Stegostoma tigrinum: one gene and its partners. The protein of the gene in region 1 purifies or fractionates together with the protein of each later gene. This does not show direct contact. Links are inferred from orthologs where the notes say so. Each region holds a gene or a part of one and is shown in the gene's direction. Other genes may lie near its edges.

Region 1 (7,838 bases):
TGTTACGTAACAAACAGAAAATAGATCTAGAAGAGAAAGCTCTGAAACAGAATGTATATTTTCAGATGTGTCTTTCTGTAAGCAACTTCTTATTTATCAGTTCATTGCTTAACTGATGAAGTCTGAGACAGGGATGAATAATCAATCACGGGAAATTTAACCACCCTTCAATAAAATGGCATAAAATGTCAGTTAGAAATGCAGATTCCCTTACAGGCTTAAACAGGCAAGGGACTGACGACAACAGGTGATCCACTTTGGATTTTGGACCAGGAGTCTCAGATTCAAGTTCTACCTACTCCAGAAATATGCAATACATCTCTGAACAGGATGATTAAAATATCTTTTCAAAACGAAAAAGGCTGAGTTCGTAGGCTCATGTGATACAGCAGTGGTGTTTGAGCCAGGAAGCCTGGGTTCAACTCACAGCTGCTCTAGAGATGTGTGATAACATCTCAACAGGCTGCTCTGAAAAACAGCTGCATTCTTGCTACGTATGATTTGGTTGTGGGCTATACAAAAGCAATAAGTTAGTTCTCCTATTTTTGCTGTACTAAACTTTGTGGCATTGCTTCTAAATTATTAATTGTTTAATTAGTGACACAGCTGGTTTGGTGGTGGTTTAAACAAAAAAGCTTCATACAGAGGGTGGTGCGTGTATGGAATGAGCTGCCACAGGAAGTGGTGAAGGTGGGTACAATTACAACATTTAAAAGGCATTTGGATGGGTATATGAATAAGAAGGGTTTAAGGAGATATAGGCCAAATGCTGGCAAACAGGATTAGATCAGTTTAGGACATTTGGTCAGCGTTAACAAGTTGGACCGAAGGGTCTGTGTCAATATTGCATAAGTCTGACTCAATGAAGGGTTCTTGCAGCATAGTGTAGTGTCCTACCTCTGGGCCAGGACATCCAGGTTCAAACCCCATTTGCTCTAGAGGTGAGTATAACAACTCTGAAGAGATTGATTAGAAGATATAAAAAATACTGGTTCTACACCAACATCTTCATGATTTGAGACAGGTCAGCACTGCAGAGGCTGGACTGAATTATTTTCTGCTCCTTCTCTTCCTACATTCCCTATTTTCGTAGTTGCTGCACTTCTTATTGTGGGAGGATCTTGTTAACTGTTATTGTTTAGTTGTTTCAACTAGTTATTGGTGGAGAGTTATCAAAAAGTGCTCGGTTCTAAGAGTGCATGTTGTGCAATGGTAGTGTCCCTACCTTTGATCTAGGAGGCCTGGGTTTACATCCCACCTGCTGCAGACATATTCAGTAACATATCTGCACAGAATGGTTTGACAAAAAAGAAAAAGCCCAGTTCTGACCCAGGAAGTCTTAGGTTCAATTTTCACCAGTTCCAGTGGTACACAACACCATCTCTGGACAGGCTGAAGCAAAGCAGCAGGGGTCTGAGCTAATCAATTATTACTAAAAAAAAGGCCAACTTCTCAATGGGGCCTAGCATAGTGAGTGTTTGCATACAGCACACCAAAGCAATCATAAACCATAAACCTACGGACCCCCAAATCTGTTGTTCATTCACTGCTTTGGATTCTGTGGGCCATGTATAAGTTGGGTGTGGGCAACTGCACCCAGTTGAATTACCTTAGAAATCTTTTGCTGCTCTTTTGATTGCACATCAGTCCCACGCTCTTGATCTTTGGGCACCCAGTCTCCAGGAGTGTGGGCACAGCAGGGGACTTCCTACAGGGCGCGGCCAAGGTGGTTATCAACAGATCCAGGTTAGTTGGTTTTAATTCTGCCTGCCTGCCCCAGTGGTGAACTTTGGGTCTGGATGTCCTCAGTGAGAGGGCGCAACACACTTAATGCCTTCAGAGCGGCAGACACTAGGTTCTGGGGTTTTTGAAGTGGGGGGGAGCAGCTGGAATGCATTATATCCCCTTCTAACTGCACGTTAGTCCCCTCCCCTATTTTTGTTGTTGTTACATTACCCCTGTAGGCAGTGTTGTTCAAGTGCTGTTTAGTTGATAGCTTGGGTGATTTGGTAGGGGGTTTTTTTTTAGGAAAAAAGGGGAACCTTCTCATTTCCAAACAAGTTGATAAGAAAATATTTAAAGTAGTCAGGTTGATTTGAAGGTGGATTTCAAAAAAAAAATCAGCCGAGATCTTTAGGGCTCTTTTGGTGATAGGGATAGTGTCCTTCCCTTTGAGCTGGAAGGCCCAGATTCAATTCCCAACCACTCCAGAAGCATGTCACAACCCTGAGCAGGTTGATTATAAAAGACAGTAGAGTTCTGAAACAGGTGAGTTGGTGGGAGGTATGAAAAAAAAAGCTGAGTTCTAAAAGGCTTTCGTGGTGAAGTGGTAGTAACCATACCTCTGATATAGATGTGTCATAACATGTCTAAACAGATTGATTAAAGAATATCTAAGAATGAAGTTCTTTAGGCTTTTAGAAAAAGACAGCTACTGCTTAGGCTGGAATTCATTATCTCTTCCACCAACAATATTTCAATTTAGTTCCTACCCTCAATTCCCCATCTTTTCGTTTTGTTGGTGCAACAGTTTGACAGTGTTTGTTATTTGTTAGTTACTTAGTTGATTGGACATTGGATATTTCAAAAATGAAAGCTGAATTCTCGAAGCATTGAGAGAGAAACGTACACTGCAAGGCTTTCAGTGCATTATTTCTTCCTCTGATATTATTTTTATTTAATCCCCTCCCTTGTTATTATGGAGAGTATTTAAAAAAATAGGTTGATAGGTATTAAACTTTCAAAAGCCAAGTTCTTTCCCAGTTGGATGTTTGCTTCAGAAGGAAAAGGGGGAAACAGGAGTTTGTTCTACACTACAGATCTACAATAAAACATTTTTGTAAAGTCTGGAAGTCTTTTGTTGCATATGTACACATATTGGAGTTCTTAAGAATGTGTGCAGTTTCTTACAGAGACTGCAAGATCCATATTTTCTTTCACACACTGGGATCAGCTGGTGCCAGCAAATCTAAAATGCTAGCTAACTCAGCAGTTAGTATTTGAGGGACCAAATGCAACCAGTTCTTTTACATTCTGGTTGACAGTGCTGGCATTTTATACATTTACTTTGATGCTTGTTGCATTTTTTTAAAATAACTGCCAATCCTCAAAACAGGATTGTGGTTTAATGGTCACAAATATCTTAGGCAAATACTGTCAGTCATAATAACATAGAGCTACAGGAAGAACGTCAAGCCCTATTTCTAAGTTTAAAAATGCACATTCAGCATTTAATGTGGACACTGATGTGGGTGAAAATGCCAGCACATGGGATTTACAAAGAAGCATTATGATCAGAATCAACTTGCAAGATTAGGATTTCAAGACTAGGGGACAATTTTTTAAGGTGACAGGAGAAAGATTTAAAAGACAAAAGTAGAGGTGTAGTGGACAGAGAAGAACATCACCTCACAGTACAACAGGATCTTGATCAGATGGGCCAATGGACCTAAAAGTGGCAGATGCAGTTTAACTTAGATAAATGAGAGGCGCTGCATTCGCAAAGGCAAATCAGGGCGGACTTATACACTTATTGGCAAGGTTCTGGGGAGTGTTGCTGAACAAAGAGACATTGCAGTGCAGGTTCACAGTTCCTCGAAAGTGGAGTCACAGGTAAACTCAGTGGTGAAGGTGGGGTTTGGTATGCTTGCCTTTATTGGGCACAGCATGGAGTACAGGAGTTCGGAGATCACGCTGCTGCTGTACAGGGCATTGGTTAGGCCACTTTTAGAATACTGTATGCAATTCTGGTCTCCCTACTATAGGGAGGATGTTGTGAAAAAGTTCAGGAAAAATTTACAAGGATGTTGCCAGAGTTGCAGGGTTTGAGCTATAGGGAGAGGCTAAATAGGCTGGGGCCATTTTCCCTGAGGCATTGAAGACACAGGGGTGACAATATAGAGATTTATAAAATCATGAGGGGCATGTATAGAGTGAATAGACAAAGTCTTTTTCCTGGGGCATGAGAGTCTAAAACTAGAGGGCATAGGTTTAAGGGGAGTGGGGAAAAATTTAAAAGGGACCTAAGGGGCAACGTTTTCCATGCAGAGGGTGGTGCGTGTAAGGAATAAGCTGCCAGAGGAAGTAGTGGAGGCTGGTACTACATTTAGAAGGCATTTTGGTGGGTATAGAGTGGTTTGTGTGCATAAGAGGTAGATGCAGGTACAGTTAGTCAGAATGTTTAAAAGCCATTTAGATAAGTTCATGGATAAGAAATGTTTGGAAGGATATGGACCACGAACAAACAAACAGGTGGGACAAGTTTAGTTTGAAATTACGGCAATGGTTAGCATGGACTGGTTATACCAAAGGGTCTGTTTCCATGCTGTATGTCTTTATGACTCTAATGCATGAACTGTCAAATCTATCCATCAAAACACAGTCAGCATACTATGGGGCAGGGGGGGTGGTGGTGGTGGTCAGGGGACGAACAATGGATTGATGAAATCAAATGTGCTAGTTGATGGAGCATTCTACTTTGTGATATGTCATATAACAGAAATTTTACTATGATATAAAAAGCCAAACAAGGAAGGAAGCACTGATGAATTTAACGATGGGAAATATTAATTATAATGGTTAAGTGCTAAGTATAGGGGAGTGTCTAGGAAGTAACAAAAATATAATAAAAAAGTTTCAAGGTAAATATTGAACAGGATCATAAATAAGATAAAAGGACTGTAATATGATCTTCTGTGTATAGCAGTCAAGTAGTAGGTGTAACATTTCAAGAATGAGTGGCCAATTAACCGCATGTCAACAGTATAAGAGAGATTATACTCTACTCAAAGATAATCTGGAAAAATACCAAGAATCTGAAAGTCATAAACACAGTCTCTATGGATTCCAAAGGGAAGATCATGCCTGAACCAGCCTTATTAAAAATTCTGAACAGCAAAGGCAGGTAAGAGTAAATATTTAACTTAATTTGCATTTTAATGGCCTCATTAATCTGTTGCACTACTTTGAGCGATTTTCAAGTTTGCATCCCTCGATCGAGGTTTAACTGCACCATTTAAACTGTATCTTCCCAGGGAGTATGTTGCCTCCTTAGTTTTCACTACAAAAACATTCTAACACACCCCCACCTACATTGTAGTTTGTGCGCCAATTACATACCTATTCTGCAAGTTTTATTTATTAATGTCTTCTTGTATTGTCACCATCCTCCAGTATTAACTATATCCAACAATTTAGTGTCACATTCAATTTGGTACCACTAATTGTGTTCATGTTTGTGAACCTGTGAGAGATACTAGCAACACACTTTGTGGAAGACCGCTTCCCACATTTTTGACAATCTGAATAAGTAGTTTTAACTCACATCTCATGATGGGTGTTTTGTGATAAGCTTGCTTTCATACTGCCTCTTTTCCCTTAACTCCACTTGTCTCGAGTTATAAGTCTACCACACAAGCTAAGCAATATCTTCACATCGTCTACTGCTGACTCCAAAACACACAGTGAATGGAGTTTAGTAGTGACAATCATTGATTATGAGACACATACATTAACATTTAAGTAGAATTCTTTTTATTTTCTTTCAGGGGATGTGTGTGTCACTGGGAAGACCAACATTTGCTGTCCGTCCCTAATTATCATTGAGACATTAGTGGTGATAACCAAGTGGCTCACTAAATCGTGTTAGGTGGGTAGCTAAGAGTTATCCACATTGTTGTAGTTTTGGAATCAGATGTAGGTCAACCCAGCTGAAGGTGGCAGATTTCCTTCCCTAAAAGACAGTAGTGTACCACAAGGGTTTTCATAACAAATCAGTAATAGTCTCACAGTCACTGTTACTTAGATGAATTGCAACTCTGAAAATGAAAAGCTTTTAGCACTTTTGTAATGCTGTATCATTTTCATTACCATTTAGATAGATCATACTGATTTTGCCCTGCACAACTGAAGCATATAATAAATAATCTACAGATTTATGACATTGTTGAATAGCTTGCAGTTATCATGTTGATGCTAAGACAGTGTTACGTTCTCGAGACAAGTGTGGATGCTTTGTGTTGTGACTTTTTGATATTGCAAATTCTGATATTTCAGTTAATTATTCAATTTAATTACTTAAGTTAAATAACGATGCATGTCAAGAGTTAAAGAGATGATAGTGAATGAAAGTCTAAGTATGTCCCTCATGTTAAATAGTGCAAGGTTTTGAGAATCATAATAGCACGATTAATTTGGAGGTTGACTTTAAATTGTGTCTCATGTCTTGTTCAAATTTGAGATCAGAATAATAGAAATCTGAGTGTATTATAAGGCCAAGCTGTAACAATGAATTCAGAAACCCTAAACTACAATGTAGAGAATCCAAGCTGTATAGAAATGGCACCAGAATTCTACAAAAGGGCTGAACCAGCAACTTGCTGTGAAATAAAATGGCGGTGTGAAAACCAGCAACTGTTACCACTTTTAGTAGTCAAACTTAACTTAATTATATATTTACATGTGAATGAGGACAGGAAAAGAACTACTTCTGAGAATCATTTAAACTACTCCTAATTTGTGCACACATTGGTGATCAAACCACAAATCTGAGCTAAATAAAAAAAAAAGACTGTGGGTGCTGGATTGAGTTTCGGTTTCTAGAAGAGGCCAGTCTTGTAGGAGCCTAGAGAGATGTTTGCAAGAAACAACAACAGAAAACCACAGTACAGTCTGATCCTGTTCTCTCTGGATATCCATATAAATGGGCTTCCTAGCAAGGGTCAAAGGACTGATTAACTCTCTTTAGCACAGAGAAAATGGGGTTAATTTTGATTGCTGTCTTGCTATTATTAGGTGAACTGGCACAAACTGTGGATTGATACGGGAACATTGTGTAGTACAAAAAAACAGGCTGGTACATCCTGCCAAGGCATCAGGCAGCATATTCACACTTTTATTCAATAAACCATTACTGGGATAGTTTATAACAAAAGGTAACAATTTATTTGGAAAACAATCCAGTTCAGTACCCTCTTCACATGCACTATATATCCCAATCAGACAGGCGCTACCCATCCCCAGTGTTGCAAAGGATGGGTCTTGCCTTGTTGCCACAGAACACCCCACATAGTTGGGCCATTCCATACCACCTGTCCTTAACAGAGACCACAAGTCCTTCAGGACTTGGTCAGCACGTAGTGTCCTAGAGATCCTGCAGGGAAATGATAGGGTAGATCCTGTCAGGTTGTTCTTGACCAGACTGTCAAAGTCACTAGGCAGAATGCCTCAACGCCAGAACTTTCTAACAAGCACCAAGACATCACTTGGCTGGTGGTGAGAAGGGCACTACTTGTGAAATCCTTCACGTATGCCCAAAAAAGATGCAGTGATTTTTGTCGAGGTTCATCCTGAGCAGCTCCATGATGCAGGATTTTGTGCTATAGGTTGCACACCAAGACAAACATTGACAGCTGTGCCTGTAGGATCATAAACTCGGTGAAAGACACTCTTTGGCCTGCCCAAAACTTGTTGGTCTTCCAGAGCAAGGAGTTGCCTTTGACTGAGTGTTGCTGACTGGCACATTTTAAGGTCCAGGACTACGCGCTGAAGGACACAATAAAGCCTGGGGCAGCTGCTGCCAAGACACAGTCAAGAAAGGCCATCGTCTAAAATCTTTCTGCAGAGGTTAAATTGAGGTCCATTCAGTTATCGGATCCTCCCAATGCCTCACATACATATAAATATCATCCTGTACAAGTACAAAATGCCTGTGGTTTGTTTGTTGGATAGAGTCAAACTCCAGTGTTTGTTTCTTCATACGCTACTATACAGAACCAAACTGCTTCAGTGACTATGTATGCATATAAAGGTATTTTTAAGAATAAATTATATTTGGGATT
Region 2 (7,468 bases), on another chromosome or scaffold:
TATTTTATTTATCAGGTATACTGTGGAAAGATTTACTTAAGAATCATGGGATCGATAATTTAAGTAGTATCAAAGAACCAAAGCCTGGAAACTTGAAGCATGATTCAACAGTTTGGGATAACAGCCATTTTTACGTTTTGGAACTTTATAAAAGTCCAGCTGTGATCAACCATTTTATGCAGAAATCTCAAGAGAATCATCTGAGCACCATTATGAAACATGCTATGAACAGTGAGACAGAGACTACTGTATCTTAACCTGAGAACCAAGAGGCACAAATTGCAATGCCATAAAATTGAATGAAAGGAGTCTCCACTCACACACAGGATCTGTTCATCTCAGTTTACCAATGGGAACAACCTCCAACCACTGGATTCCAGAAGCCAAAGTTGCAGAATTTAATTTCAATTTTCAAACCCACCACTTAAGAAAAACAATCTTCAATCAAGTCAGACCTGCAATGAAATTGGAGTTTGGTTTTTTTTTATCTTAACATGTAACTTTTATCTTACTCACTTAAAATATTTAAATCTGTGTTTCATCTAATAATGTGGTAATTTTTTAATGTAAATATTTTCCAACAATAAATGTTTTATAAATTAACATTTTACTTTGTTAAAAACACAAAGTTGTGCTACAGATTAACTAAATTAAAAGCAGTCAAAAACTGAAACAGCTCTACAGAAAAGATTGTACGAATTCTTAGATCACAGACCACTCTGAGTGTATGTCTGAAGTGTGGTCATGACAAGAAGGTTGTAAAATCAGTTAAGCAGCACCAACCTGATATTGGTAACCCTCAGGTTTATGCCAATAGGCAGAGTGAAACAGCAAGGAATTTTTTAAAAACGTGCCGATACGTTTTCAATTAACGGAAGTCTAGGTGTTTTAAACACCTTTAAAATCACAAAAGCTCCATTTCACAGTTCCTCTTTTTTTTTGACAAACGCATTTGCCATTTCCTTTTGATAGCTGTGTTGACAATTATAATAGACTCAATGTGAATGAGCTGCGCACCTTTTGTGTACATTCATGTCTACTTTTAACAAGTCGAACACACACACTTTACCTCTCCCAAAGGGCAATTTGACTCTACCAAAAGGTCTCCTTGCACTATACCTAAAGGGATACCCTACCTTTCCAAAAAGATATTCTCAATATAAAAACAAATCCACAAACTTTAGACCTCTAAACCAGGAGAATCCAAGATAACAAAGTGTATAGCTGGATGAACACAGCAGGCCAAGCAGCATCTTAGACGCACAAAAGCTGACGTTTCAGGCCTAGACCCTTCATCAGAGAGCCATAAAAGCTGACGTTTCGGGCCTAGACCCTTCATCAGAGAGGCAAGTGGCTTTTCACAAACCTGAGTCACTGCAGAGAATAGAGAATCTGAGATAACAACGTGCAGAGCTGGATGAACACAACAGGCCAAGCAGCATCAGAGAAGCAGGAAAGCTGATGCTACCTCAGAATAGAGAATGTTGTTTTTGGGCTGCAGTGGGTGGGGTTAATTGTCTGAGTTTTGGGCTCCTTTGCCACTTTCACAATGATGAAGAGATTCTCTTTCATTTCAAAGATCCAGGTCCATGTTGAAAGATATTTAATTGGCTTTAATGCGCTTTGGAATATCTTGAGGTCATGAAAGCTCTAAAGAAAGTACAAGTCTATAATTTTTGTATTGTATGGTTGCTAATTACTGATTAACTCGAAATTGACAACAATAGTAAGTGTGCAATTTAACACAATGTTTTACTCATAATAGTGGGTGCTGATAGCCAGATGTAAGTCCCTCAGCCCACAGAACAATTTACAGTAATTAAAACACAGTTTATTTCTGATATCAACAACATATCTCAAGAACAAGAAACTCTTTAATCTTTACTATTACACTGAAACACACCCACAGCTGATTCAATTCAGGATAATATAAAGTTGAATTAAGTTTGTTGATGCTAATTGATGTTGCTGAGAAAAGAAATGGATACGGCTGAGCCAAAATCTAACAAACAGAAATGATGCAACTGACTGGAGCTGTAGCTCTAACATTTTAAACGAAGGACCCTTTGCTACTAGCTCTCAAAGTTCAACACCTCTCCCTTTCGATTAAGATCAATGCCACAATCCTGTAAAATATGAACCATTTTATATAACTTGGGTGCCTCCTCTTGATGAAGGCAGACAGATTATGACATCTATTATCACCTACAATGTCCCAGCTCAGCCTATGGTGTATTGAAAAAAGTATCTGAGAAGCAGAGATCTCAAATATGAAACTAAGATCATGGTTTGCTGAGCACCAGTGAATACCACACTTTCATGCTTTGGAGCATATAAAACATGTAGGAAGCAACTGAGAACATCGTTCAAGTACCATCAGTGGAGCTTTCGCAAGGTCCTCCAAATCCAGTGACAATTCAATAGCAATGTCCTGTCTGAAATCATTATATCCAATATCAGAGATAATGGGAACTGCAGATGCTGGAGAATTCCAAGATAATAAACTGTGAGGCTGGATGAACACAGCAGGCCAAGCAGCATCTCAGGAGCACAAAAGCTGACGTTTCGGGCCTAGACCCTTCATCAGAGAGGGGGATGGGGAGAGGGAACTGGAATAAATAGGGAGAGAGGGGGAGGCGGACCGAAGATGGAGAGTAAAGAAGATAGGTGGAGAGAGTGTAGGTGGGGAGGTAGGGAGGGGATAGGTCGGTCCAGGGAAGACGGACAGGTCAAGGAGGTGGGATGAGGTTAGTAGGTAGCTGGGGGTGCAGCTTGGGGTGGGAGGAAGGGATGGGTGAGAGGAAGAACCGGATAGGGAGGCAGAGACAGGTTGGACTGGTTATGGGATGCAGTGGGTGGGGGGGGGAAGAGCTGGGCTGGTTGTGTGGTGCAGTGGGGGTAGGGGACGAACTGGGCTGGTTTAGGGATGCAGTAGGGGAAGGGGAGATTTTGAAACTGGTGAAGTCCACATTGATACCATATGGCTGCAGGGTTCCCAGGCGGAATATGAGTTGCTGTTCCTGCAACCTTCGGGTGGCATCATTGTGGCACTGCAGGAGGCCCATGATGGACATGTAATCTAGAGAATGGGAGGGGGAGTGGAAATGGTTTGCGACTGGGAGGTGCAGTTGTTTGTTGCGAACTGAGCGGAGGTGTTCTGCAAAGCGGTCCCCAAGCCTCCGCTTGGTTTCCCCAATGTAGAGGAAGCCGCACCGGGTACAGTGGATGCAGTATACCACATTGGCAGATGTGCAGGTGAACCTCTGCTTAATGTGGAATGTCATCTTGGGGCCTGTATCCAATATCAAGGTGTTAATCACCCAAAATTCTGACTGAGTGCAGGGACAGAACATTTTGTTCATAAGCCAAACAATATTCACTTAAAGCTACTGCTCTACTTGGTAATTAGTGGTAGCAGGAGCAACCAACCCCACCACCCCCTGCAGGAGGACAATGAAAATACTTTAGGGCAAACCTTGAATGATTCCGAAGAGGCAAAGTGTCCAAGCAGACTCATAGAAATCCTTGGCTTGACTGACCAAAATAGAGATGGCTCAATTGGGAAAATACCAAACCCATTAAGGGGAATGAATAAAGGTAGTCGAGGAGCCAGAGATGTGAGTGCACAAATCTCCCAACAGCTCATCTCTCTACCCTTCGAAGCACACCTACCCCATTTGTCACCGAGTCTGAAAAATGGACTTGTCAGCTACCTCAGGACCCATTGAACACAAAGTGAAAGCAAATCATCCACAATTCTAAGGCACTGCTTATGAAAGAGACAAAAATTCAATCAAAGGGAGAATGACATTGAAGACTAACTTATCACTCAGTAACCATGGTAAACATCATGAACAAAAAAAAACGCGAACACTACTCAGATATATTTAAAACCAATCAACTTTGACATTGCTGAAGATTGCCTTGTTTCTTCAAGCAAAACTTCCAAGACTAACTATACTACAAATAAGGCTGTGCTATTTTGCAGTCTATGAGTCCTGCCTTTTCATTCCTTTTTCTGCGCCCACGTTCTTCCTCAAAACCTATTAGATTTCTGGAATAAAACAAAGAACTGCAGATGCTGGAAATCTGAAACGAAAAACGTAAAATGCCAGAGAAACTCAGCAGGTCTGAAATTGTAACTTTTTTTCTCCACTCATCCGGCCAGACCTACTGAGTTTCTTCTGAACTCTTTCTATTACATTACTAACCTTTTTGCACAATTCTGAATTAAAGATAACTGAAACGAAACGCTGGCTCTGATTCCCTTCTCCACAGATGTTACTCGATCTGCTGAGAACTTCCAGTATTTTGTTTTCGTTTCTTAAATGAATTTGGGTTCCTCCGCCCACAAACTACAAGTCCCAGTGTGCTGCGTGTTCTGACACCTGCGCAGTAGGATCGCGGGTGGTGGGGTGAAAGTTCATGGAAGGAGGTTTTGGCGCGTGAGAGTCCGATTAACCCGGGAAGGAGACGGTATTGGGGTCGCGTGGTAATTTTGACTAATGGTTACGGTTGGTGAGTGCCGGGCTAGTGTGGGGAAATGACCCCGTGCTTTCCGCGGATCGAACAAAAGATTGCCAGGTGATTTCAAACCCGTTGGAGTATGAAGCTGATTTTAATCTGTGACGTGTTTTTCTTTTAAAAAATAATAACAATTCACATTAAGAAGATTTGGTCCAAGTGAGGAAAATAACAAGTAAGACCAAGTTAGCGGCCGCTGTAGGTGGTTGGCTTTTTTCTTAAACGATCCGTTAACTGTTAAATTGTTTAAAGCCTATGATGCATTCCCCAAAACGTTTTGGCGTCTTAAATGGAATCAGAAAGGTGGATTCACACGAGAGTTTTGAGTTTTTACACAAAATGTTTTTAGATTGAACAACTTCCCTCCCCATATGTTTTAGTTGCAAACGTTTTTATCTTTATACAGGCAAATTTTAAAAATAAACACTCCTATAGCTTTCGTGCTGACAATTCAAAACAGCAAGGGGAATTGGTGTTCTGCCGAGAATGCTCACTTTTGTATTTCACTCTGGAGGAATCCCAATTTGTTTCTTCTATCTTAATTGCCTGGTTTTTACATTTTTTTTGCTTTTTAAAAAAATTTTGTGTATTTCTGCTATGCTCCACCCTCTTACAAACTTTCCCTCTGATTATATTTCCCACCATAACTACTCATTCCAGCCCTTGACACTTTTCACTTGCTGAAAACTTGATGCACTTTTTCTTTTGTCCTACTCTGATCGGAAACATCTGAGATGTTTACTTGGTTTTGCTCAGCACATGTTTTGTCAGGCCTGTTGTATTTCCAGCATTTCCTGTTATTTCAAATTTCTGCCATCTGCAATTTTTTTTCTTTGTTTGAGAGACAGTAAATAATTTTCTGATGCATGCAGCTCATTTTTACTTATGATGTAATGTGAACTATGTTGCAACTTAAGTCTTAATGGAAATTTTGGAAATTACTGCTGACTACAAATATTTAAGTAAATGTTTGAGCATTTGGATGCAGAAACATGACCGATTAAATCACAAATCAGAATTGCCTACGATTGCTTCGGTTTCAGGTTTGTTGTATTATTAATTTGAAATTCTCATTCTTGTTTCGAAATTCCTTAATGTCATTGCTTTACTTCCATGCTCTTCTGACTCTGACTTCTGTGCACCGTCTTCTCTCTTTGCCCAACCGTTGGTGAATTGCCTTCAGTCCTCAGCTGTAGAGATTTCTACTTCTAACTGCATCTAACTTCTAACTTTGAACTTTTTGAGATGCGTACTAAATCTTCCACCTCATCTTTCAAGTGCACCTCATGATGTTTTTGTTTTGCTGAATCTGATTCTATGAGGGTATGCTTTAGCATATTTTCTGATGCTTAAAAGTATTATATAATTGCTCATTGTAGTTACGAAAGTGAGGAAGAATGAGGCTGCAGATCGAAAAAAGTCTACAAATTAAATAATGCCACATAAGACTTGATTCATTGAATACCGCATATGTTTTTATTTATACTTCCTTATCAATCTGTTTGGAGTTGTCATTACACATCTCTGGAGCAGATGGGACTTGACGCTAGGCCTCCTGGCTCAGAGGTAGCGCTGCACCACAAGAGCCTTTTTAGGCATCTTGTATACATTTGCAGGATGCAGACACTAATCTCCTGACAGGATAGCCCAAGAACGGGATCCGTGTTATGCCTGTCCTCTTGTCCTTGAGGTAGCCATTACTGTACTGTGTCTTTATGACTGAAATTTGCAGTCCGTTATTTTGTTTGCAACCTGATTTGCTATTATTCAAAAATGGAAGCCTTTTATTATGAAGGTTTAGGTGTCCTATTTGTTCCAAATGTGATAGATCTGTTTCTATCAACATTACACCATAGAAATTATTTTGAAAATGAATAGTGTAGGTAAACAAAGTATCACATTCTTCAAAGCATCAATAATTGCGTAAGTTGATACCTATACGAAATAGTGAGAATAATCTTTCAATATGTTTAATTTATATTTTATAATCTAAGGGAGAACTTTGTTCCTACAGTTTGTAAAGATGTCTAAACTTAATCATGGTGAATATCCAGAAGACAGAATCCTCTTACTGAAAGAGAAATTGATTTGTCGGGATCCTCAGATTTTAACTCTGCAATCAATACTGGGAGAGGTAATTTTGTATTTTAAATGAATTGGCTGAATTTTGATGCCATATTGTTAGGCCAAAATTCTGAGGTGGACCTTTGCTGTTCATGCCTTTGAGGGATTTACATGCATGCTTAATTTGTGCCCAGGAACGACCATTGTAAGGAATAAAATGGATAACAGTAAAGAATGTAAATTGATTCAGTAATATTTATTTTATATTGTATTAATGTAAACATTCAATTTTGTTCAATATTAATGAAATGATAAAGCAACTACAACACTTAATATTGAATTCCTTCAAAATCACGAACCTCCATCTGAATTACCAAATGATTTGTCCGAACATCCTGATTGGATAACAGCATGTGGACCTTCATCATCGTCTTCATTATTGTTAGCATCATTGTTATTGGATTCCTGTGATAGATGGTGTAATTTTTTTCACACTTGTTCTTGCATCTCGTGCATCATTTGACATTGGCCTTCAATTCTGAAATCTCATTGTTCTTTGCATCTGCTGTCAGTGCAGAGTTGGTTGGTGCTGCAGTCGATAATACAGCAATTTTACCAATGCTTGTTAACTCATTCTGCCAAGTTTTTCTTTAGTTTAAATTAGGCTTTATACTTGTTATTCTGTGTCAAAGTTATCATGATAGATTATGTTGTACATTAGTCTTATTGGATGGGAGATAATTGGTAGAAAAAATCTGAAGTTTCCAGGGTGCTTTGAATAAATACAGTTCATTAATTTACTATGCAATACTAATAATCACAGCCTATCTTTCAGATAACCGTGGGTGAGAAAAACTAGTTCGATGAGATTCTCTAGAAC
Region 3 (7,964 bases), on another chromosome or scaffold:
AAACATGAAATACTCAACAAACTACAGTTGGAATTGATTTTGGCATCTCGTGATAATGACTTGCAGAATTCCTATATACTGGCTATAACTGAAAACATATCTAAATAGGAATTTCAAGTGAAATGCTGCTTCAGGTTTCTTACCTTTTCTGTCATGTTGATGTCCAAACAGTGTGATAAGAAGGGTCAGAAGTTAATTTCCTTATTAGTCCCTTTCAAATGTTAATATACACACACTTTCCAAATCCACAATAAACTGCCCAGAACATTCCATGAATAAACAAAAATAAATCTAGAATTGCAGCCTACTCCATATCAATAAACTGAAATATTGTTAAATACACAAGATCTTATCTCGAGGTTAACAGCACATTGCGAGGAACTGTAGTACTTCACAGCATACAAAATAGGAATCGATTTAAATTAATACTAGATCGTTAAGTACAAGAAGTAACTTTATTTCCACCTCTTAATGAGCATGCCAAAAAACACTAATCAGTCATGTACTGTCACCTACTGAATGAAAATATTCTTCCTTCAAATACATAGCCTCTACTTTTAAATATTTCTTCAGTTCCTTGACAGATCCATATGTTGCATGTAAACTGGTCTGCCTCATGTCCATGACAGAAGCATGTAATTCAAAATGGTTTACAAATTAAAGGCACCAGTTTTAGTCCTTTACAATATAACAGCTTAATCCACATGAAAGATTACCAACATTATGCTCCGCAGATGAAAAGACCTCTGATTTATTATAATTAATTTTCAGTTGCTTCAGTGTCATCAAAGTAGGATGGTCAGGAAAGATTTTATGACCCTTGAGCATGTTGTTTTTGATTCTCTCAATTTGATTGTAGAAAATATCTCTCAAGGTGAGTTGCTTCATGAATTTGTATAGAAGTAAACCACAGATTTTTCATGTGAAGGGAAAAGAAGTCAGGTACAAATGAACAATGGACCTGGGTAGAACGGACTCTGAAATGCTGAAAGAGAAGGGAAAGATATGTTTGGAAAGGAGTTCATGGCAGAGGTGGCACTAATGTTGAAAGATATGAAAGCTCGTTGAATGTGTGGTGAGAACAAAGGCGCCTCACAGTTCTGACATGGAAACCAAAAGGGGACAACAGAGACGGAACAATTTTTTTCCTCATTACAGAACCTCCCCATCAAGCAAGCATAATTATGCCATTTTATCTCTGCCATTGCCTTCTTCCAAGTATCCAGATGCTTCATCTACACAATTTCTTTTGAAACTTTTCAATTTAGTGTCTGCTGGAAATAATGTGGCTCCTTCTATGTTGGAATAATTATAGATTGGGTGACTTCCTTGTGGAACACCACTGTTCTGCCCATATATGAGTGCCAATGTTTACGGCTGTTTTCATTTCTCCACTTGATCCCCACGATGACCTCTCAATGCTCAACGTACAACCCCTTATCTTTTGATTAGGTACTTCATAGCTACCAGACTCCACAGACCTTCTTCAATTTCACATTGCTTTCATTTTTTAGGACAAAAACAAAAATTGTTGATGATTCTGCTATCCCCATTTTCACCACCTTTAGAACATGTTTTATTTTTTACTCTTGCCCTTGCACCATCATCCTTTTTGTCTTCACTTCCCATTTTCTCTCCCACTGAGCTTCCTTAAATTTTTTTTACGCATTTAACTTTTTCAGTTCTGACAAAAGGTCAATCTGAAACCTCAACTACTTCTCTTAAGTCTGTATGTCCTTTCTGTCTTTCCCCAAAATAAAGACTGTGCCGAGCATAAAATCGGAGTGTTGAGAAATGTTGATCGAAGTCTCTAGATATATTGCTGTGGCAATATAATTACAACAAAACCAAACTGAGCAATGAACATTAGCTGACTTGAGTAAGGCAAAGTTACATTAGTAAATAAACAACATGATCTAATATAGGTTGGTGTACACATAAGAACATATGAAATAGGAATGGGTAATGTCGCGCTTCAAACTTGGCCTGTCATCCATCAAGATCTCGTTCAACTCTGCCATCCCACACTATCCACTCAATCTTGAATTTCCTTTGTAACCCAGGAATCCATCGACACTTGTCTTAAACATACCGAATGACAGAGGATCTGCATCTCTCTCTTTCTCTCTCTCTCTCTCTCTCTGCAATTCCTAAAGGCTGAGTGAAGAAACTGCTGCTCACCTTAATCCAAAGTGCCCAACCCCTTGTTCTATAGCTGTCATCCCATATTTTAAATGCCCCAGCTGAAGAGAATCATTTCTTAGCGTGCATTCCATTAAAGATTGTACCATCAATTATTAAGTGTCTTCATTTTGACAGAAGATAGCATATATTAATCATAACACATATAGGAGAACATGTGTTAAATGAACATCAGGTCATTCAGAAGAGTTAAAACAGGAATAACATACTTTGAAGAATATATATGCAGATGCTTATACTACTTTTCCAAGGCATGTTATTTAAGTTTTATGCAAGTTTTAAAAGCTTCACAAATTTCCAACCTTCCATTTAAAATTTCCTGATTATGAAAAGTGAAAACGCAACATATGCTTAATAAACTTGGAAAAATAATAAACATTGCTACATGTATCAATAATTCTGTTAAATTTATTTACCATGACTAACACTGATCAAAACTAACTGAACCACTTGACATACGTAGAAGTAAAAATGATGTAAAAATAAGTCATTTTGGAATATTAAACTTGACAATATATTGTTATATCAAGAATGTTTACCACTCATTTGAGCTAAAATAAAATGAAAAGCAGAATAAGAAACCAAATTAAAGTACTCAGAAGTACTCTCAGCTAAAACCACCTATATCTATTTTTCAGATCTGTAGAGTTGGCAAATTTTAAAGAACAAAAATAAATTAATGATTTTAGTTTTCAATCATCAAGTCTCCTAACTAAGGAATGGCAGGAACAGTCTTCAAATCAAGCTGTTGAAAAATACAGACAAAACTCTAAGGTTTCTGTGTGCCCAATGCTCACTTCAGACATACTTCCCATTTACTCAACACCAATGAAGATCGGTACAGAAGGACAAAACGAAGGCCTAGGGACTCTTAAGTACATGCAAAGGCTAAAAAGTTGCAACTCATCACAAATGCTCATCTGAGCAAGGACCAACTTACATATCGAGCTATTTCACAGTTATTTGCAGTCGAATGGGCAGAAACGTCAGAGCACAATAATAAGTCCAATCTTTTGAAAGCCATAAGTTGGCTGGTCAAATTAACAGCGTGTTGAAATAATGCAGACCCGATTAGTTTAAGTAACAGATTACCAAATTTAAAACACAAGGTCCATCTGATTTCAAATTTCCCTCACTATATCTGGTTGGAGCCATCTAAACCCCAAAGAGATCGTACCTGTCAAACACATCCATTACATCTATTATTTCCTTCCAGGAGTAGAAAAATCAGCCTACTGGCACTCATGTAGAGCAAAAACCAGGAGAATAAGAGATGGAAAACTTAAAGAAATGTGGAAAAGTTTAATAATTTTAAATTTTAATTTAGACCTACAGAAGATATTAATAGTACTCACAAACACAAAACATATTTCAGCAACTTGCAAAAAAAGTATTGTGAATTTCTCATTTCAAAACAAGCAAAACTGCAGAACATTAACATGAAACTTTAAACTATTAAACTATTATTTGCTGCTATACACAACATACAAATTCGAAATACATCTCTCACATGCATCTAAAAATGATTTAAAAGTTTCTTTGTTTTAAAAAAGGCAGCACTTTTTCAAGGAAAAGCAGATTCACATTGAGGGATCATTTCAACAATTACATTGAAAAATTAAAATATTTATCCACACAATGAGTTACTGCATCCTTTAACTCTAGCTATCAGTGCACTGTTAAAACACTAATTTCACGTATTTTTGTCATAAAAATATAACAGTGGCGTGCAAGACGACCAAACTACTGAAATCCTTCAACTCTAAACGTTTCTTTAGGGCTAAAACGCTACATATTGTACTCCACATCCTATTGGGCCTATAAATATGCAAAATATGAAAAATCACAAACATGACGGTATCTTAACTACCAGTCGATGAGAACTCGTGTACCATATTGATGACCCTACTCCAAACACTCTCCAGAGGTTCCAAATACGAACACATTATTGCATCAGGATGGAACAACCCTTCTTATTACTGCGGGGTTGATACCCACAAGAGCTGAAGTTGGACTGTTGTAAACAGCAGTCACGCATGGCCGTGGCCTGCAACGTAGCATCATCATCATCAGCAGCAAAGAGGGGGCGGATAAATAGAAGGCTTTAAACCAGATTAAACCCCATTTTCAAGAGCCAGCAACGTCCCTCTCCTGCAATATACATATCAAAAAATTATACCCTAAACTCCCAACTTCAATAAGATTTCATTCTCAACACAGCGATATATTTATATAATACTCCAAAATCTGCACTTCATTTTAATAAAATACGGATTTTTAAATAAAAAAGGCCAGATTTGCTTTGCAACCACTTACCTTTAACTCTCTCCTCTCCAAAGCTTTCGCTTCAGAAAAACTCAAAAACAAAGGGTAATAAAGGGCTGAAATGGCACTTAAAAGGCTGCTGGCCAGGCCCGGGAGGTCGGCTGGTTGTTAAGGGAGGTATCCAGGAAGTTTTTCAGACGCTCGGGATGTATCCGGTTGGGAATGTAGACTCATAATAACAAAAAGGAGAATCGGCCGCTTTATTTCTGGAGACTTTATGGAGGCTTTACTCGGAAACACAGAAGGTGGGAGAGAGATAAAGCCACGGAGAGAGAAACAGAGGGAGCGGGGCAAGAGAGAACGAGAGGAAAAAAAACCTGCAGCTGAAAATACCCGGCGCACTGCGCATGTCCCAAGACACAATTACCCAGAATGCTCCGGGGAAGGGGAGATAGGGCGGACCCTGTCGTGTGACGTGTAGGTGGGAGGTCATCAAAGGTCAGAGAGCGGAGGGCGGTGGGTGGGACTATATAAAAGGAGTCGTGGTTACCTGAGTAATCGTTGGAGCCACTGGGCCTCGCTCAGGTATTTGTGGTCTGGCTGATGCACTTTAAATATGGTGCTTTTATTATTTTGTGTACAAAGTTATTTATGTTTTATATATCACGCTAGGTTCAGAACTCTTGGTCCTTATTTTTGACTCACCTGTTGTTTTCTAGCTTTTCCATCACCTGTCGCCTGTTATGTGTTCTTCGCACTTTTATTTATTTAGAATTTTTTTCTTTTAAAACGTATTTGATCTTATTCAGGGTTTTTTAAAAGCTTGGGAGGCAGCAGTTTGTTCTATCACAAGGGTTTACGCATTTGTTCTGTGTTCCGACGTCCCCTCATCGAACGGCTAGAAATTTTCAATTTTTGTTGTTCGTGTTCTGGTCTTGGGTTTTTAAATTTTTTTTTAGGGGAGACGGTAAAGTAGTGGTGGAGAGGCTGATGAAGGAGCCGCACTTGAAATCTGGACAATATAATCCTCCCCTTTCTTTATGGGAGCTTTCTGATGCCTCCATCATTTTCTGTTGATTGTGCCTGTGTCACAATAAACGCTGTATTTGTTCCACGACGTAGAGTTTGTATTTGTATTTGGTGTAACGTGTTCATGGTTTCGTTTTCTGATCGCATGATTTGTCACTATCGACTCTTGATGCTTGTTAGCGGACCAAATGCCTTCTTTCATGTTGCAGGTTTCATCGGCGGATTTTCGTCAGCGAGCTTACCTCATTGGGCACTTTTGGAGGAAGGTATCGCTGGGTTTTTTTCGCTGAATTCTGAAGACTCATTACTGAGGGTAGTTAGTGACACGGACGGTTCTGCTTGTCGAATTTCAACGGTAAATGTATCATTGTAATTGCTGAAATGACTAGAAGGATTTGCCTGCCTTTAAATCAAATGTCGTGAACCACTTTATATGCAATTTTAAAATGTGTGTTCTTTCGTAATTTGATGGTCGAATATAAATCCGATCCTCGAGTTAACTTTACGTAAAACAAATTACGTCGTGAATGATACGGTATAAAGCGATTTTATTTTGAAATCGTTTCCTAGTTCAAGGTAAAATTGTTTAGTGGAGATATTGTAATCTGTTCAGTTCAGTAACCGAAATGGGAGTCGTCCAAATCGAGGTTAGACAAGAGCAACGTAGAAAATTTTTTTGCCTGATACAAAGATCTGCTGGGGTTGATTCTGGGCAGACATTCTGTCTCAGATTTCAGAAAGAAGTGTTTCATGCACACTTGAACGGTTGCCGCCGAATGTAATTAAGAGAAGAATGTGTCTTTCTATTGACGACCAAGCAGAATGCCGGAAGGAAAGCAGCCTCTGATCAATGGTGCACATCCTGTAGCAATGTAGGGAATCTAGAGGATTCAGCCTGGTGCAGTCAGCGAAAGAATTGCTGGACAGGGTCATGCTGCTGGTTTTCTGTTCTGGATTTCTTTATAAACTGAGAGAAGCATCATCTGATGGTTACTTGATGTTACACATTGGTGAAATAGAGAGAAGAGGACTGGATGGAAGCTCAGTATTATGTTGAACTAGTTGCTGTCAAAATTAATTTTGCAGAAATTAGATGATGATTAAAACTGTGACCTTGGAGTTTTATTATCTGAGGAATTCAAGATGGAAGAAAATTCTGCAATTCAATCTTGGGTTCCTCTATTATTTAGTCAGTGTTGCTTTTAGTTTTTGTTACAGTTGCCGCAAAGTTCGTTTCATGGTTGTCTGTGAACAATATTTTGTGTGAAATTGCCTTGTGATTTTTTTTTTTTCTTAATTTGAATATATTCTGCTCTTTGTGAATTTTAACGTGAGGGTTATTATGGCATAATTTATTATTGTCGCATGTGCTGAAATAGTGAAAACTACTGTTGAGACAAATCATATCTGACATCAGGGTAATAGCAACAGAGAAGGAACCACTTCAATGTATGAGAGATTCATTCAAAACTCTGATAAGTAGTGTAGAAGCAGTTCTTGAATCCGTTGCTATGTGTTTTCAAACTTATGAATATTCTGCCCAATGAAAGAGGGTGGAAGAGAGTCTAACTAGGGTAGGACAGAATTTTGATTATATTGTTTGCTTTCCCAGGGCAGGGAGAAGTACAGATGGAGACAGTGAAAGGAAGGCTAATTTGTGTGATGGACTGTTATATTCACAACTCATTTAATTTCTTGCAGTCTTGGGCAGAGCAGTTGCCATATCAAACCGTGATGCAAACAGATAGGATAATTTCTATGCTGCACCTATAAAAATTGGTAATTCATGTGGACATTCCAAATTTCCTCCGAGTTTGGAGGATACAGAAAAGTTGGTGTGCTTTCTTGACTGTAGCATTAATGTGGATAGACCAGGATAGATAAATGGTGACATTTATTCCTAGGAACTTGAAGCTTTCGACCATTCTCCTCTCAGCACAATTGATATTGACAGGGGCATGTCCTGCACTCGACTTCCTGAAGTTGATGTCCAACTTCTTCATGTTGCTGACATTTGAAAGAGATTGTTGCCTTTTATACCATGCCACTAAGCTCTCTGTCGTCTTCAAGTATTTTGCCTCATCATTGTTGGAGATCCAACCCATTACAGTGGTGTTATGAGCAAACATCTAAGTGGAGTTAGAGCAAAATTTGGCCACAGTAGCGAGTGTTTAAGGAGTATAGTAAGGAGGTGAGTATGCAGCCTTGTGGGGCACTAGTGTTGAGGATTGTTGTGGAGGAGGTGTTGTCGCCTGTCCTTACAGTTTGCAGACTGTGGATCAGGATCCCGTTACAGAAGGGGAAAGCCGAGTGCTAGGTCTCTGGTTTGGAGCTGAGGTTGGCTAGAATTAGTGTTGAAGGTAGAGCTCAAGCCAGTAAATGGGAGTCGGACATAGGTGTCCTTGTTATTCAGATGTTCTGGGGTTGAGTGTAAGGCATCTGCCATAGACCAATGGTGACAATGGGAG

The links.
Region 2: the proteins of lrwd1 (region 1) and orc5 purify together in Homo sapiens (affinity purification with mass spectrometry; 4 studies listed by BioGRID and IntAct, with this or other methods). This does not show direct contact. The link is inferred for Stegostoma tigrinum from reciprocal best matches to the Homo sapiens genes LRWD1 and ORC5.
Region 3: the proteins of lrwd1 (region 1) and orc4 purify together in Homo sapiens (affinity purification with mass spectrometry; 3 studies listed by BioGRID and IntAct, with this or other methods). This does not show direct contact. The link is inferred for Stegostoma tigrinum from reciprocal best matches to the Homo sapiens genes LRWD1 and ORC4.

What each region holds. Positions count from the first base shown.
Region 1 is NC_081380.1:9,118,169-9,126,006, reverse strand, and holds the start of lrwd1 (leucine-rich repeat and WD repeat-containing protein 1), read left to right. Parts: upstream 1-4,813; 5' UTR 4,814-4,903; intron 4,904-7,838. UniProt on the Homo sapiens protein: Required for G1/S transition. Recruits and stabilizes the origin recognition complex (ORC) onto chromatin during G1 to establish pre-replication complex (preRC) and to heterochromatic sites in post-replicated cells.
Region 2 is NC_081378.1:23,171,887-23,179,354, forward strand, and holds the start of orc5 (origin recognition complex subunit 5), read left to right. Parts: upstream 1-4,414; 5' UTR 4,415-4,518; exon of another isoform or gene 4,519-4,699; intron 4,700-6,538; 5' UTR 6,539-6,547; coding exon 6,548-6,658; intron 6,659-7,468. UniProt on the Homo sapiens protein: Component of the origin recognition complex (ORC) that binds origins of replication. DNA-binding is ATP-dependent. The specific DNA sequences that define origins of replication have not been identified yet.
Region 3 is NC_081360.1:83,672,380-83,680,343, reverse strand, and holds the start of orc4 (origin recognition complex subunit 4), read left to right. Parts: upstream 1-4,960; 5' UTR 4,961-5,052; intron 5,053-5,705; 5' UTR 5,706-5,851; intron 5,852-7,964. UniProt on the Homo sapiens protein: Component of the origin recognition complex (ORC) that binds origins of replication. DNA-binding is ATP-dependent. The specific DNA sequences that define origins of replication have not been identified yet.